Lonchura striata: one gene and its partner. The protein of the gene in region 1 purifies or fractionates together with the protein of each later gene. This does not show direct contact. Links are inferred from orthologs where the notes say so. Each region holds a gene or a part of one and is shown on either strand. Other genes may lie near its edges.

Region 1 (7,746 bases):
TCTGTGTCAGAAGGGTCATCCTGTGCCAGCCCCTACAGGCTCACTGTAAAAAGCAGTGAGGAAGGAGCCTGGGTTAGCAGGAGTAACAAATATCTTTACATTTCCCTGCTAGCTCAACAGAAGCACCACTTGAGCAGCCATGCCCACAGCTCCAGTGACAAACTGATTCTAGAGCCAAACGTTTGCCAACAGAGACAATAAGCTTCTTTATACCCTGAAGTTATTTATACCAAGGCTGCCAAACTGAAATGCACTCAAAACGAAGAAAATGCTTGGCAAACCGAGAGGACAGATTCAATAAGTGATCATAAGCAATGATTTTAAGAAAATAATGAGGTTGTATAACAGATTAACAAAACTCAGGAAGAAACATCACATTTAAGTGCTCTTCAGAGCACTTCAAGATAAAACCTTGATGCAAAATGCACCAAAATCTTACAGTAACATAATATCCTTAATTAGCAGTCATCCTACCTAATGCTTCCAAAATTATCTACTCATCAGTTTTTTGTACACAAGAAAATTACAAAATTTACTGGTTTGAGATGTTAACTAACCAAATAATCAACATCCTGCTTGCAGAAATCTTAATGTAGAACACTAGTTTGGTTAAAAATCTGGCTGAAAAAGTTCCCCCTTAAAATAGGAAATGTAAAACTGTTCCAAATGTTAAAGATGCATTTTTTACCTAGACAATAAAAATTATAAAAAGTTTATATAAAACATGAGCTAGTAAATTATCTTGCATAATTTTAGTACTTTTTATGATTCAGTATGTGCTTTGTGCACAATAAATTCTGTATTTTGTTTACCTACAGAACAGGTTTTATGAACAACCAAAATCTTCAACCTTACACTCCGTAGTCTGTGAAACTTCCCTTTAAAGTCTCAGCCTGATTCTTTGAACTGCTTAGTGGTAGGAAAGAGTCATTTTTAGCTCAAGAAATTGGTACCTAGACAGGGCCTCTTTGGTGAGGTGTTCCAGCAGCTCATGTTCATCTCCAAGTTTACAGTAGGAGAGATCCAAACACGTCAGCTCCCGGAAAGACTTAATTTCTTCAAGCTTTTCAGAGATAACCAGGTACCTGCAAAGCCAAAAAAAAAAAAAAAAAAAAAAGCCCTCAGTGCTCAGGCATGTAAGTCCACATCCCCAAGTGCCATAAGCACAATGCACTCGTTTCTGCCAAGTACCTATGCGAAAATTGACAGAAATTACCCAGCTGCACTAAGTACCTCTTTATGTGCAGCTGGCACACAAGTCTGAATTCCCAGTCTTCTCCTTAAATCACTGTCATGGTTTAGATTTGATTCAACTTGTAAATATTGCTGTTAGGAGCTTCTTTACAGATTATTGCTGTATTATTTCAGAATAATGCAAAATGTCTCAGTTTATAGTCAGTTTCACAAACTGCTCTTCCTAGGAAAGGTACAGACAAACCCACATTCATCCAGGTTTAAAATCCACCTCAAACATGGATTTTAAACAGGACAGGATAGCCTTTCAGTAGCAAAATTTTAGTTTTTATATATGTCAATAAAATGCTTGAGTAGAGGTAGAAGTCCAGGACTGGCCAGAGCTGAGGCAGCAGTTACTCTGGGTTTTTTTTCAGCTGTGCTGGTTCCCTGGTGTGATTCACTCAGCAGCCACGCAAACATCTGTGCTGGAGCTATTCAGTAGGAGGTTCAGAGATGGGAACAAACCACTGAAGAATGGCAGGCATGAGTATGCAGTAATGAGCACGTAGCCCTCAGTACCTCCCCTGCAGTCACCTCTTGCTGTCCCTGTGGCAAGACAAGCTCCAAATTCACTGATACCTCCTGAATTTACCTTGTATTCCCCATGGCAAGACACACCCTGAGGTCAGCATCTTCACTGCATATACTGGGGGTGATTATTAACCTGATCCCTCCAAGAACACCTCTTTGTCCATGCAAACAAGAGGACCTTAATATCATCCCAGTGTAATTGTACCCCTCAAACCACCCCACTCAAACCCCTTGCCTGTGCAATTTGGCTCTGCAAAAAGCACAATAAACAGAGCATAAGCCAGTTCTCGAGAGAGATTATTAGCTCAGGGGGGTTCTGGAGAGTGGGCTCTTAGAAATAAAATTCATCAGAAAATGCCTTAATGCCTTACTTCCTGGATTTCAAAGACTTGATGCTTAACTCAGCTTTCTGTAATGGCAAAAGATGCCAGAAGTAGCTTAATTTCTAAATTAAGCCCATAAAATTATCTGTGCTAGAGATAAAAAGGGAGAAGGTTTAAAGGATAAAACAAAGGATAATTGACTTCTACTCAAACATTCCCACTGTGCTCAGAACACCCTTGGTACTTCAGATGAATATGCCAGTACTTTGATTTTAAACTGGATAAACCATCCCTTTTTCAAGTGTAGAGATGGAAGAGAAGGGTTCTATTACTGGGAAAGACTTCAGTAGGAGCAAGGCTTTAAAAACATAATCCAGTTTTAAACTTGGCAAGACTCTTTCAGTTAAAGATGTGGGCACTGAGAAGATGGAAAAACTAGTGCCGAACTGTAATCAGGACCTCGTTAAAGTACAGCCAATATGGGGTGGTAACAAGGTAAAATCTGCTTGATTTTAAAGCCTGCAACTTACCAACAAGTCTGTATCTTCTTCTGAGCCCTCAAAATGAGACATATCAGAAAGCTTATAGTTAGTAAACCTGAACAATTTGCAGGGGTGTATTTTATCTGTACAGTCAGCTAAGTGTGTTGAAAAGCTTTTAAACAGCAATTAAAGAGACATCCCATGAAATACCTGAGAAGGCACTCAGCACACGGATTTCCACAGAAGTTATTATTATTGTTAAAAATAGTTGCAGGTTTAATCTTCCATATAAGATCCCCTGTTGGTTAAAGCAGAGGCAGTCTGTTACCTCTGTTATGATTTGTATCTTAAAATGAAACCTACAGCTTCACTTGTAGGAAAGGGATGGGATAAAAGCACAAGAATCAGATAGTGCTCAGGGCATTTAATTAATGTTACGTGGTGTTGTAAGGCTAAAATGTATTTTTATTTAATTTAATTTAGGGGAAGTTTGAAGTGTGCTAGCAGAAGACAAGATTTGTTAGGGGACACACTTACCTGTTCCGCAAGCACAGTGAGCACAGCACCAAACTGCCATAGGCTTCAGTGAATTTCTGCAGAGCTCTCAGTCCTGTCACTGGCTCTGTGAACTTTTGTCTTGCTTCTGCTGCTGAAAAGAGCTTTTCAGCAATCTGCTCTGGGAAACCAATCAACGAGTCAATGTGATCTACATTGTCAGAAATGTAACCCAGCACTAGGCTGAAGAGGGACTTGGCCGAGTAGCGGAGGTTCCCCTCCTTGGTGTAGGTGAAGATGAAATGATCAGTCCTCTGCCTCCTTGCCCTATCATCCTCCCTGTTCATGCAAAGCTCCACTGAAAAAGTTCTGGAAAACAGACTGAAAGGTCTTGCTTTGGGAGTGACATTCTGTACGCTGCCTGCACCCCGATTTACCACATGCAGCTTCCCATTTTCACGCACGTATATTGGCCCAGTATCCAAATGGCTTTCTGAGTGGAGACAGTACGACATTCCCCTCGACCAGCTCTGTAAAAACAAATCACAGACAAGTGAAGAACAGCCACAGTCAAAAACATGACCTAGGGAAGCCCCCAAAGCTGGCAGCTCCCCTTAGAGCCCTGAGCATGGCCACGTAGCAAGGAGGGCAGGCTGTGTGGAGCAGGGGCGTGAGCTGCCTGCCACCAAACCACCCACCCCATCCGAGTGGGAGCTGGACCCCGGGCTGGCTGAGACCCCCGGGATAGATCCCAGGCCCGGGATGGAGACAGGGGCAGCGGGAGAGGGGTTGAGTGGGAAGTGCCCGCACAACCAGGCCTGGTTCTCCTGCAGGCAGGAGAAGGAGGAAGAGGAGGGCACATGTCTGACTGCAGCTGGGCAATGGAGCCTGCTGGAACCTCCCTCCCGGGGAGGGTGGGCATCTCCCGGCGCCCCTTCCCCGGTGCCGGGGGGCTCTGGCTGGCGAGCGGGTCTGGGGGGGGCAGGAGAGCTCAGACCTGCCCTGGCGAGGGGCAGGGCAGGGACAGGATCCTCTCGCCTCCCGGCCGGCGGGGCTGGCGAGCGGGCCCTGCCCCAGGGGGGCCGGGGGTACCGGGACGGATGGGGAGCCGGGTGCGAAGGGATGGGGTCCAACCCGGAGAGGAGCTGGGAAGGGTCTGCGAAGGGATCGGGCTGTGCCCGGGGCTGAGCGCGCCGTGAGCGGGCACTGCCCCGAGGGGCACCGGGGGAAGGGCACCGGGGGAACGGGCACCGGGGGAACGGGCACAGGGGAAGGGCACCGGGGGAAGGGCACCGGGGGAACGGGCACCGGGGGAAGGGGCACAGGGGGAAGGGGCACGGGGGGAAGGGCACCGGGGGAACGGGCACCGGGGGAAGGGGCACAGGGGGAAGGGGCACCGGGGGATGGGGCACCGGGGGAAGAGCACCGGGGGAAGGGCACAGGGGGAAGGGGCACCGGGGGAAGAGCACCGGGGGAACGGGCACAGGGGGAAGGGCACAGGGGGAAGGGGCACCGGGGGAAGGGCGCCGGGGGAAGGGTCCCCACCCCGCCCCTCTCCGCCCGGGCAGGGAGGCCAGAATCCCGCTGGTTCCCCGATCCCCCCGGCCGCCACCTACCTGCCCCGGGAGGGGCCGCGCCGTCAGCCAGGCCGGGGCTCGGCGCTCCCGCCCCGCGGCGCCCGCGGGCGGCGGGCGGGGCCGCGCGGGCGGCGGGCGGGGCGCAGCGGGGCCCGGGGCAGCGGGGCCCCGCCCGGCCAGCGGCGGGCCCGGCTCCCCGCGGCGGCCGCGGCCGCAGGGGAGGAGCCGCCGCGGTTGCCCGGGAGCGGCAGCGCCGCGGCGGGCGATGGGAGCCGCCGACTGGTGCCGGAGCTCGGCGGGGGCCGCGCTGGTCCTGGCCACGTCCAGCGATGCCGAGCACCCCGCCGAGAGCGTGGCGGACGGGTGAGGGCGGCGGGGGCGGCGGGAGCGGAGCCCGCCGGGCGCGGCCCTCGCCCTCCCGCTGGAGCCGCCGCACGGTGGGAGAGCTCGGCGCCCGCCGCCGTCGCAATCCTGTGCGGGGCCGCCCCAGAGAGCGGCCCCGTCCTTGTACAGGGCCCTGCTGAAAGCACCCCAAATAAAAATGCATCCCCCTTCCTTTCCCCCCTCTTTCCCCTATTCCTTTTCGTCCCTCTCCTTCCCTTCCTCGCTCTCCCCCTGTTTTTCCACCCTTTTCCACCCTTCTTCCCCTCCGCTTTTCCCCTTCCTTTCCACTCCATGTTTTTCTGTGGTATATTTCATTCAAGATGGTTATAGATGGAAAGCTTCAGTTGAGGATTTTGTTCTGTTCTCTCTACAGAAGTTCCAAAACATTTTGGACGACTACGGGCATGTTCCCACAGGAACTGATTATTGGATTTCCCAAATGTGTAAAAATCAGCAAAGTCGCCATCCAGTGTTATTTGGGTAAGACTTTGTGTCTTGCCATAGGAAATATGTGCTATATTAAAATGCGTGTCTGTGCCTTAAAAGTTCCCACAGTAGTGTCATAGTCGGTATGTAGCCACTTTTAAGAGATTTGTAAACATTTAATTTACATAAAGATTTAATTTTGCATAAAGATTCATTTTCATAAAGCAATTGTCCTTTGTATCCACAATCCCCATAGCGTAGAGAAAAAAAAAATTAGTTAATGCTCTGAAAGTGTTTTGTGGTTGTAAAGTGATGGAATAGATATCAGTGTCAATAAAGAATCAGAACTTGTGTTGATATTTTGAATTGATATATATTTTAGTGCGGACCTTAAGGATTGAAAGAAGCACATCTAAGGACCCTGTGGGTTTTGAACAATGTGTTGAAAAAGGTAAGACTGAGTTTGTGGGCTTTTTGGGGGGCAATGTTTTTTTCAGTGAATCACTGTAACCCCTCATCTATTTGTTGAGTAAAGTGTGGGGTGATGATTATTTTATTAGACATTAATGTAACAGTCACATTTAAGTGAATTTTTTAACTGCTGGTCTCTGCAGCAGTTCAGAGAGTAAACTGCTGTATAAGGGCTAAAAGTGCTACTTGTGCACTTTATGTTCCAAAAATTAAAAACAGGCTTACATAGTATAATAGAGTGCCATTTCCTGGATTGTTTGGCTTGGGGATTGGCTTTTTTTAGTGCCTCTTGGGTGACTTTGTTATAACACTGTAATGAGTGGGATGTATATATACATACACAGACTGGGATACTGCAAAAATGTATTCTCTTAAATCACCTGTAAAAATAAAAAAGAACAATGTCTATATGTAGCGTAAATTCATTGTCCTTGAACTCACTTGAACTCTGAGTCCAGTGAAAACTTCACTGCATTGCACATTGTTCTTCATTGTTTACCTTAAAATATATTTTGTAGATTTGCAGCACAGAGAAGGACAGCTACAAATGGAAGAATTTACAGTGAGTATTTGCAGTGTACATCAGTAGTGGTTCATGAAATGGCATGTCTGGATTGAGTGGGGAGAAACCATAAAGAAACCAAATGTGTCTCTATTTACAATTATTGCTCAGTTGGTGTTAAAGGGAGGAGTTTGTAGATTGTGGTGTGAAATTGCACTTCCCAGCTGCTCCTCTGTAGATTATGCTATGAAATTGTACCTGCCTAGTGCTCCTAATGAGGTGCAAGGGCCCTTTCCAGAAATGTGGCAATTTCCTCTCCTTCAGTTGCTGCCTTTAAGGCTACAGAATTCAGGAGGTGATGGGATTTTTTTGAGTTGCAGGTCAAAGAACTTGATTTATGTGCAGTTCAAGAAGGAACCCTGAAGTACCCAGATCCTCGTGTTTAACAAACTTTTGCAAATGTGCTTTGGTGGTTTTGTTACTACAGAGGATGCAATGACATTTTATTCCTTCTGCAGCTTCCTGAGTTCCAAGCCACTTACTTGCGCTTCATCATCAAATCTGGCTTTGATCACTTTGTGTCAGTGCACCGGGTGATGGCAGAGGGCACAGCAGAGAACACTTGAGCCCAGCTTAAGTTTGGGCCCCCACTTTATTTTTTTATAAGGAAGTTAAATTTCAATACCTGCACTGCAGAGAATGTTTATTATTAGAACCTTGTATTAAAGTGGTTTTGGAAGGTATGGATGTGGTATATATTCCTTGCTGGTTTAATGTATGGAATAGGATAGAAGAATACAGATAATAAGATCATCAAGTCCAACCACAACACAGTGCAGTTGTTAATTGTAGTAACAGCTTTTTCATTTTGTAACCTAAACTGTCAGCCTGGAACACCTGAGCGTAACTGAGTCCATTTAAGGTAGTGTATTTGTATCAGGTTTACATAATACATTAACTAAAACTTAATTTCCTGTAAAATATTTCCCTTGCACTCTGAGTTAAATAGGAAAAAAAGTTTGAGCTACTTAAGTGGGATGTATTACTTCCACTGTCAAACAAGTTCTTCAGAAGTCCTTAAGTTGCTAACTCTCTGATCAGCTCAAACTCAGAGATTGTTAGAATGAATATAAATGTCTGCTAATGCTTAGAAATAACCTGGGGGAGAGAGGCAGGGAAGGAATGGAAATAATCAGAATCCAAATGAAGTGTTTTTATAGGCTTTTAATAATTATACATCAGTCCCTTGTTTCTATAAATATTCTCTAGAATCAGGTCACAGCCACCAGTGCTTTAGGCTGGGACCATCATAACAAATA
Region 2 (6,906 bases), on another chromosome or scaffold:
TAGAGGCAGACATGTTCCTTGGTCTTGTTTTTCATCTCTGCTTTGTTTCTCCATCTATATAATGGAAATAAAGATCCTCATCTCTCCTGGGAAGGATGTTGAGGCCACAGATCAATAAGAGTTGAAGTCCTTGACAATCTGTTGGCATCAACAAAGCAATAAGGTTTTGTATGAGCTGTTCCTGTTGATTCCAGAATAGGTTTCCTGAGAGAGACTGAACTGAGTGTTACCCACAGACTCATGACAAAGAGCAGGGCTGCACTGCACCCCTGTCAATGCACCTTAATGTCCTGTTTCCCTTTGGTCTCTTGCCATAGCTACACCCAAAGATTTTTCCAGAGAGCAGCCACACTTCATCCAAACCATCATTTACTTAATCAGCTACGCTTTGAGCCCCAGAGACACATCCCTGCCCTGAGCTGCTCAACCAACAAGCTTTGAGATTACAATATTGATTTTCTCCTTCATTTTTAATAACAGCCTACAATGCTCAAAAATAGGTGTTCCTTCCTCTCAGTCCCTGTATTCCATGCCTTGCCTCCAGGTGAACCAGTATCTGTCTGCACCCACTGAAGAGCTGTTTCTGCACACACACAATAAATGTCATGCAACACACAGCAAGCAGGCAGAGCCTGCCCTTCATGGTGAGCTGTGCCATGTGGTTGTATTTCTAAGCCAGGCAGCATTTTCACACACAACTGGAATGCTCCAGGGTATGTTTCCCAAAGTTTGGAAACATTGCTACAGTACATTAAACAAAGCACCAATACTGAGCCACAAAAGCTTATGAAAAATTTTTTTGAGTTGTTTTCATAGGAAAATTTTTATGTGCCACATTAAATGAAATACAATGCAAACTTAAAATACTGAAAGGCTGAATGGTTTGCAAGTGCTCAAGTATTATCTAAAAGCTGACTGGCAATACATTTTACTGCTGCTTCCAGTAAAACCAGTGGTCTCTGCCTTGGAGGCAAATATCCTCTGATCTGCAATTCAGGCAAAAAGCATCACTTGCCCTCATACAGCAATCACTGCATCTCTCACTCAAGTTCTTACTGGCATTTCTAGAGCATAGAAAAGCTTTATTAAAATATCATTGATATCTTGCAGTGGCTTTTGAGGGGTAAAAGGAGGATTTTACAAAGAAAGTCACCTGAAGATGATAATTTTTGCTTGCTACCGAAACATTATGGTGGAAAACCTGCCATCTAATAAATGCAAGACATAAAGACCATTACCAGCATTTTCTGTAGTTCAATGTAAATAGATCACTTATTGCTGGGGTTTCCTCCCTACTGCAGTCTGACAGGGAGTTTTAAATCAGTGAAGGAAAATGATTCACACACATGTGCTCTCAGCAAACAATACACCAGGCACTAACATAGCTTTACCCATATGCCTAAGGCAGATGCTGATAACATCAAATGTACTTGACTTAGATGCCTTTGAAAACAGTTACCCTAAGTGGCTTGAAAGCTTAATTCCCACTTTCTAAAGTCACTTCAAACCCTAAATCACATGGATAAATCCAAAAATTGCACCCTTAGTCGGCTCTGCTCTCCTTACTCTTCAGTGGCTAATATAAACATACAAAAACCCTATCTGACACTCCATCTAAAAATTAATCCTAATTGCTTTCTGGGCAGCAGCACAGACAGCCAGTTTTACCCAGTTTCAGTTACCTCTTATGCATTTTTTTCCCTTCTTCTGTGCTGGTGTCCACAATAGGACCCTTTATAACATATTTCTCTTCATGTGCTAGTGTCAGCTAATACCATAAACCAGCTGAGGCTGTCCTGGTTCTTCTCTCTGGGCCACCCTTTCTGTCTTTCCTTTGGAAGTTAAGGGTCTGAAATGTGGAAAACAACAAAGCTGTGGAAAGAATTAACTATGACTTGTCCCAACTCATTGTGAATTTGGTCCTGAATCATGCAGAACACAAACAGAAAGCACACATCCAGTCTGTTACAGCAGAATCAAGTTCACAGGTAGTTGCAGCTACTGCTTTTTCATTGTCTTAGTCCCAAAAAGCTGAAAAGAAAGGGCTTTGTGATATTTAAAATATATGTGAACATCAGGATGCCACTGCCACACTGAACCACTGTAAACTATCCCTACACAAGGAGTGAAACAACAAATGAGTCTCCACTGTGACAGAGTAGACTGTACCCCCTCAGTGAGAGCAGAGCATTTCTGGTTCACATTTATTAGCAGTACTGGTAATAAACATTTACACTGTGGTAGCGCCTAGAGGCCCTGTTTGAAAGCTTGTCTAGAAGTGCTATTGTACCTGGGCACTAAACAGCTCTGAAGCAGCACATCTGTCTGCCAGATGTTTTATTTTCTTAGAAGCTGCTATTTCAAAAAGTCTCTTGCCTCTCCTAACAAGCCTTAATAAGAATCTTCAAGAGCTTGGCTTCATCATCCTTCCAAGGAGAATCTGCTGTTAAAACTGCAAAGAAACAAGGAAGGAGAGCACTGCTGGAGCTAGTGAGGGACACCAGGGCAATGCAGAATGGTCTGAATTCCACATTGACAGAGGGCTCTGGAAGAGGGCACTGACCTCTGCCTGTTTCATCCCTCCAGGGCTGCCCTCCACGGCACTGGGGGCCAATGTAGGAGCAGCATTGCATGGATGTGGCCAGCAACGGGGTGCAGCAGTGAGCTTGGTGGTCTCTATTCCATCCTTCATTGACTTTTGGACCCTGAAAGTTAGCACAGGAGTGATGGGCTTTATCTTCTCATGGTTCAAAGATTGGTATCTATGGGCAGAAAAACAGTTTGAGAGGGACTTTGCACTTTCTCCCACTTCTGCCCTCAAAAGCCATCAGCTGTTCCTGCTCTGGTCAGTGACAGGGCTCACACAACTCAGTGGTTGGAAATACTGTCTCCTGCTGAAAGGAGCAGCTGGGGAATGTCAGGAAGATTTCCTCCTTACCGAAGCGCCCTGGGCCACAGCAGCACATACATTGTGAAGGATCCCTTTGCTCTTTTGCTGTGACACCACATTTGTTCCAGCAGACCTATGAGCAGGCTGGGCAGAGCAGGGGAACAGAGAGGGAACAATGGGGACAACGCACACAGAATTCACAGAATGACCGGGTTGGAAGAGACCTTTCAGATCAAGTCCAACCCAGTCCCTACACCTCAACTAAACCCTGGCAGCCAGTGCCATATCCAGGCTTTGTTAAACACACCCATGGATGGGGGGACTCCACCACCTCCTCGGGCAGACGATTCCAGCACTTTATCACTCTTTCAGTAAAAAACTTTTTCCTAATATCCAACCTGTATTTCCCTTGGCGCAGCTTAAGACTGCGTCCTCTCGTTCTGTCAAGCAAGGACAGCGCGGGGACAGAGCAGGGACACGGCGAGGACACACGCTGCGGGCACAGTCTGGGGACACCAAGGGGACACTGCGGGGACGGAGGGAGGACGCAGGGGACGGAGCGGGGACACTGCGAGGGCGGCGAGGCGACATGAGGGGGACGGAGGAGTAAAGAGAGCGCGGAGGGAGCGGTCACAGAGCGCGGGCACAGCGCGGACACGGGCACAGCGCGGAACGGGCACAGCGCGGGCGCGGGCACAGCGCGGGCACAGCGCGGACACGGGCACAGCGCGGGCACAGCGCGGGCGCGGGCACAGCGCGGACACGGACACAGCGCGGAACGGGCACAGCGCGGGCGCGGGCACAGCGCGGAACGGGCACAGCGCGGAACGGGCACAGCGCGGGCACAGCGCGGACACGGGCACAGCGCGCCGCCCACAGCCCGAGCGCTGCCGCCCCTCACGGCGCGGCCCGCGCCTCCCGTCACGTGAGCGCGGCAGAGCCAATGGGCGCGCTGGCGCCGGTTGCCGGGCAGCGCGCGCGGGGGCGCGGCGCGGCCGCCATGCTGAGGGCCAAGGTGCTGCTGGTGGGGCCCCGTGAGGTGAGCGCGGCCCGGAGCCCCAGCGAGGGAGGGAGGGAGGGATGGCGCGGGGAGCTTGGGTGAGCTGTAGTCTGGCACGTTAAATTCCTGTGTGTGTGTCTGTGTGTCTTTCACCCCCGCGTTGTGCCAGTCGGGCAAGTCGGTGCTGGCCAACTTCGTGTCCGAGAGCACGGAAGGGATCTGCAGCTACAGCCCCACGCAGGGCGTCAGGTGAGCCAGGGCCCCGCGCCCCCTGTGCCGCCCGCGCCATCGAGCCCACGCGTGTCCGTCATCTCCGCAGGATCCTGGAGTACGAGAAGCCCAGCCTCGGCGGGAGCAGCAAGGGAGCTGGCTGTCGGTTCGAGCTCTGGGACTGCAGCGGTGATCAGAAGTAAGCCGGCATTGTTACTTCCTCCAGGTTACTGAAATCCTGATAGATCTGTTTACAGCATATTCTTAAAGCTCAAGCCAATGATCTGTTTGATATGAAGACAATTCCTGACTCTTTACCCCAATATATTTTTATAGTTTTTGTTGTAAAGCATCTAACACTAGGTACACTCTGCCGTGATAACCCCTGAACTCTGTTTTGGATAAGGACTGACTCAAACAGTAAAGTCCACAACTCCTGGAATGAAGTTACAGATACAGGAGACAGAGGCCCACTCTGTGATTGCCTTCATCTCCGTTAAATTATGTGAATGGACTTCAAACAACATGTGCATATGATTGAGGCCTTAATTTCTAAAATGTAATTGTGAATGATCCGTTCTTAGGGAAATGTTTAATTAAGTTAAAATGAGCATTTGACGAAAGTTTAATTAAGTTAATGAGCATTTGACCAAATTCTACATTGTCAGAAAATCATCAAATTAGAAAATCACGAGATCAACTGTCACAATAGATAAGTCAAAATACTTGGAATATGATATATAGCTGGCATGGTTACTGATGTTGTAGTTAAAAAAGTACTTAATGTGTTCTTGAGAAGGGGAAAAAACTTGAGGAAATTTGAGTGCATGTTTCTGCTCTACAGCGCTCAGTCTTTCAATTCTCTGTGTTTTTCAAGGTTTGAAACATGCTGGCCAGCTCTGATGAAGGACTCTCATGGTGTAATAATAATCTTCAACCCTGAGCTGCCCAGCCACCTGAAAGAAATCGAGATGTGGTACTCATGCTTCGTGCAGCAGCAGCCACTGCTTGACAGTCAGTGTCTCCTGGTGGCACATCACAAGCCAGGCAGTGCAGGGGACACAGAAAACCTGTCCTTGGGTAAGGAGATGGAGAACTCCATTTGTAGCTCAGAGCTTTTCATTGATCTTTGTGACTTCAAATTTGTTAATACTTCATGGTTTTTTCATCTAAATCTGTTGATTAAAGAGCACTAAAGTGCTTTGAAAAAGCAGAAATAATGGATTTCAAAGGTGAGCAATATTCCTGTTTCTGGGAATGGGGAAGGGAAAGTGTCAGTGGCTTCTCCAAGTGTATATGCAGCTGAACCAGAAATTAGAACTCCTGCCTTATTTCCTTATGAGATGTAGTTTGGTTCTTACATTGGATTTTTTTTTTTTTTTTTTTTGTGTAACAGACACCCTTTAGGGCATTTAAGTCTGTATTTTGCCAGCCAAAAGAACAGGAGCTCTTCAAAATAAAAGGCAAATGAGCTGCATCTTAAAATTAGCAATAGGTACCTTAGATACTGCAGAATTATTTGTGACTATTTATGGCTGTGAAAACACACATTCCCTTCTGGGCAACCTGTTTAAACAAGGACATGTTTGTTATAAGTATTAATATATTAATACATATTTAATACAACAATATTATTCCATAACTTCTTTGAAGTAATCAAAGAGTATCATATCACTTTAATAATAAAACTGTAGTTCAGTGCTCAATTTGTTTAATTCTGCTTAACTGAATATGAGACCAAAACTAGACTTTACACTTGAATAATAATAAATTTTGAAGAATTTAATCTGGCAATAAGCTATATTTGTTTGCAACACTGACAAACTCTGCTGCATTTCTCCTTGCCCTGTTCTGTGTTATCTGGGGTGTCAAACATTGTGTGCCACTGAATTCCAGCTGAGCTGTTTCATGATTGTGACTATTTCTAAGAAGAATATACCTAATTATTCTTATTTATTTTCATAGCTTATCCACTGAACAAGCTAAAATTGATACATTCCAACTTAGAGGAAGATCCTGAAGATGTTCGGATGGAATTTATCAAATACTTCAGAAGCATTGTCACCATAATAAATGAGAGCAGAGAGAGGGAAGAAATGTCAATTATCTCATAATATTAAAAAATATACTGAACAAGGAAGAAAAAACATTATTTTCCCTTTGTAAGCTATATTAGCCTGTGAACAAACCGTCCCTAGGAGAATTTTCTAGGCTACAAATACTTCAGTCTGTCAAGAGGGTCTGACATCAAGTGAACTGTGGTGCCAAGGAGATGGCTGCACATCCAGGAATCCGAGTGCAGTTTTGTAGCTGCGCTTTGGTATCAGAGGCACAGGAAGGCGTTTCCATGTTGCTGTGGCCCAAAATACAAAGGTTTGGGTCATGTCTTCAGAATTCCTCTGTGCAGGGCTGCTTGGAGAAGAAAGCCTGACAGAACATAAGACTGGAGTTCTGCTGAAGCACCTGGGCGAGGTGCTCATGTTAGCTGGAGAAGGCTTGTCTTTGGAAGTACAAACTGATTGGAATAGAGATCTAAGAAGTGATGGTGTAGAATCCATGTTTTTATGTTCCAAGTTGTCCTTGTCGTTCCCTTGAGGAGAGCACATTGCACAGCCATTGCCTTGGCAGGACAGAGCAGGCTGCAGTCTTTCCCAAGACTAAGTTTTTCTTCTTTTCCAACAAAACAAACGTGTTGTGAGGACACTGTTTAGGTCTCTCTGGGAGGAAGGAATTGAAATCTTGGTTTAATGCAATATTCTGACTTATATTAGGAGCTCAAATAAGTTCTGAATTCTCCAGAGGAGGA

The links.
Region 2: the proteins of IFT25 (region 1) and IFT22 purify together in Homo sapiens (affinity purification with mass spectrometry; 3 studies listed by BioGRID and IntAct, with this or other methods). This does not show direct contact. The link is inferred for Lonchura striata from reciprocal best matches to the Homo sapiens genes IFT25 and IFT22.

What each region holds. Positions count from the first base shown.
Region 1 is NC_134611.1:8,997,012-9,004,757, forward strand, and holds IFT25 (intraflagellar transport protein 25 homolog), read left to right. Parts: upstream 1-4,852; 5' UTR 4,853-4,909; coding exon 4,910-5,007; intron 5,008-5,401; coding exon 5,402-5,508; intron 5,509-5,836; coding exon 5,837-5,905; intron 5,906-6,443; coding exon 6,444-6,487; intron 6,488-6,945; coding exon 6,946-7,053; 3' UTR 7,054-7,170; downstream 7,171-7,746. Other genes in the region: LRRC42 (leucine-rich repeat-containing protein 42), read right to left, coding at 954-1,085, 3,110-3,582. UniProt on the Homo sapiens protein: Component of the IFT complex B required for sonic hedgehog/SHH signaling.
Region 2 is NC_134622.1:4,872,551-4,879,456, reverse strand, and holds the start of IFT22 (intraflagellar transport protein 22 homolog), read left to right. Parts: upstream 1-3,852; 5' UTR 3,853-3,890; coding exon 3,891-3,929; intron 3,930-4,059; coding exon 4,060-4,139; intron 4,140-4,209; coding exon 4,210-4,299; intron 4,300-4,977; coding exon 4,978-5,180; intron 5,181-6,065; coding exon 6,066-6,214; 3' UTR 6,215-6,906. UniProt on the Homo sapiens protein: Small GTPase-like component of the intraflagellar transport (IFT) complex B.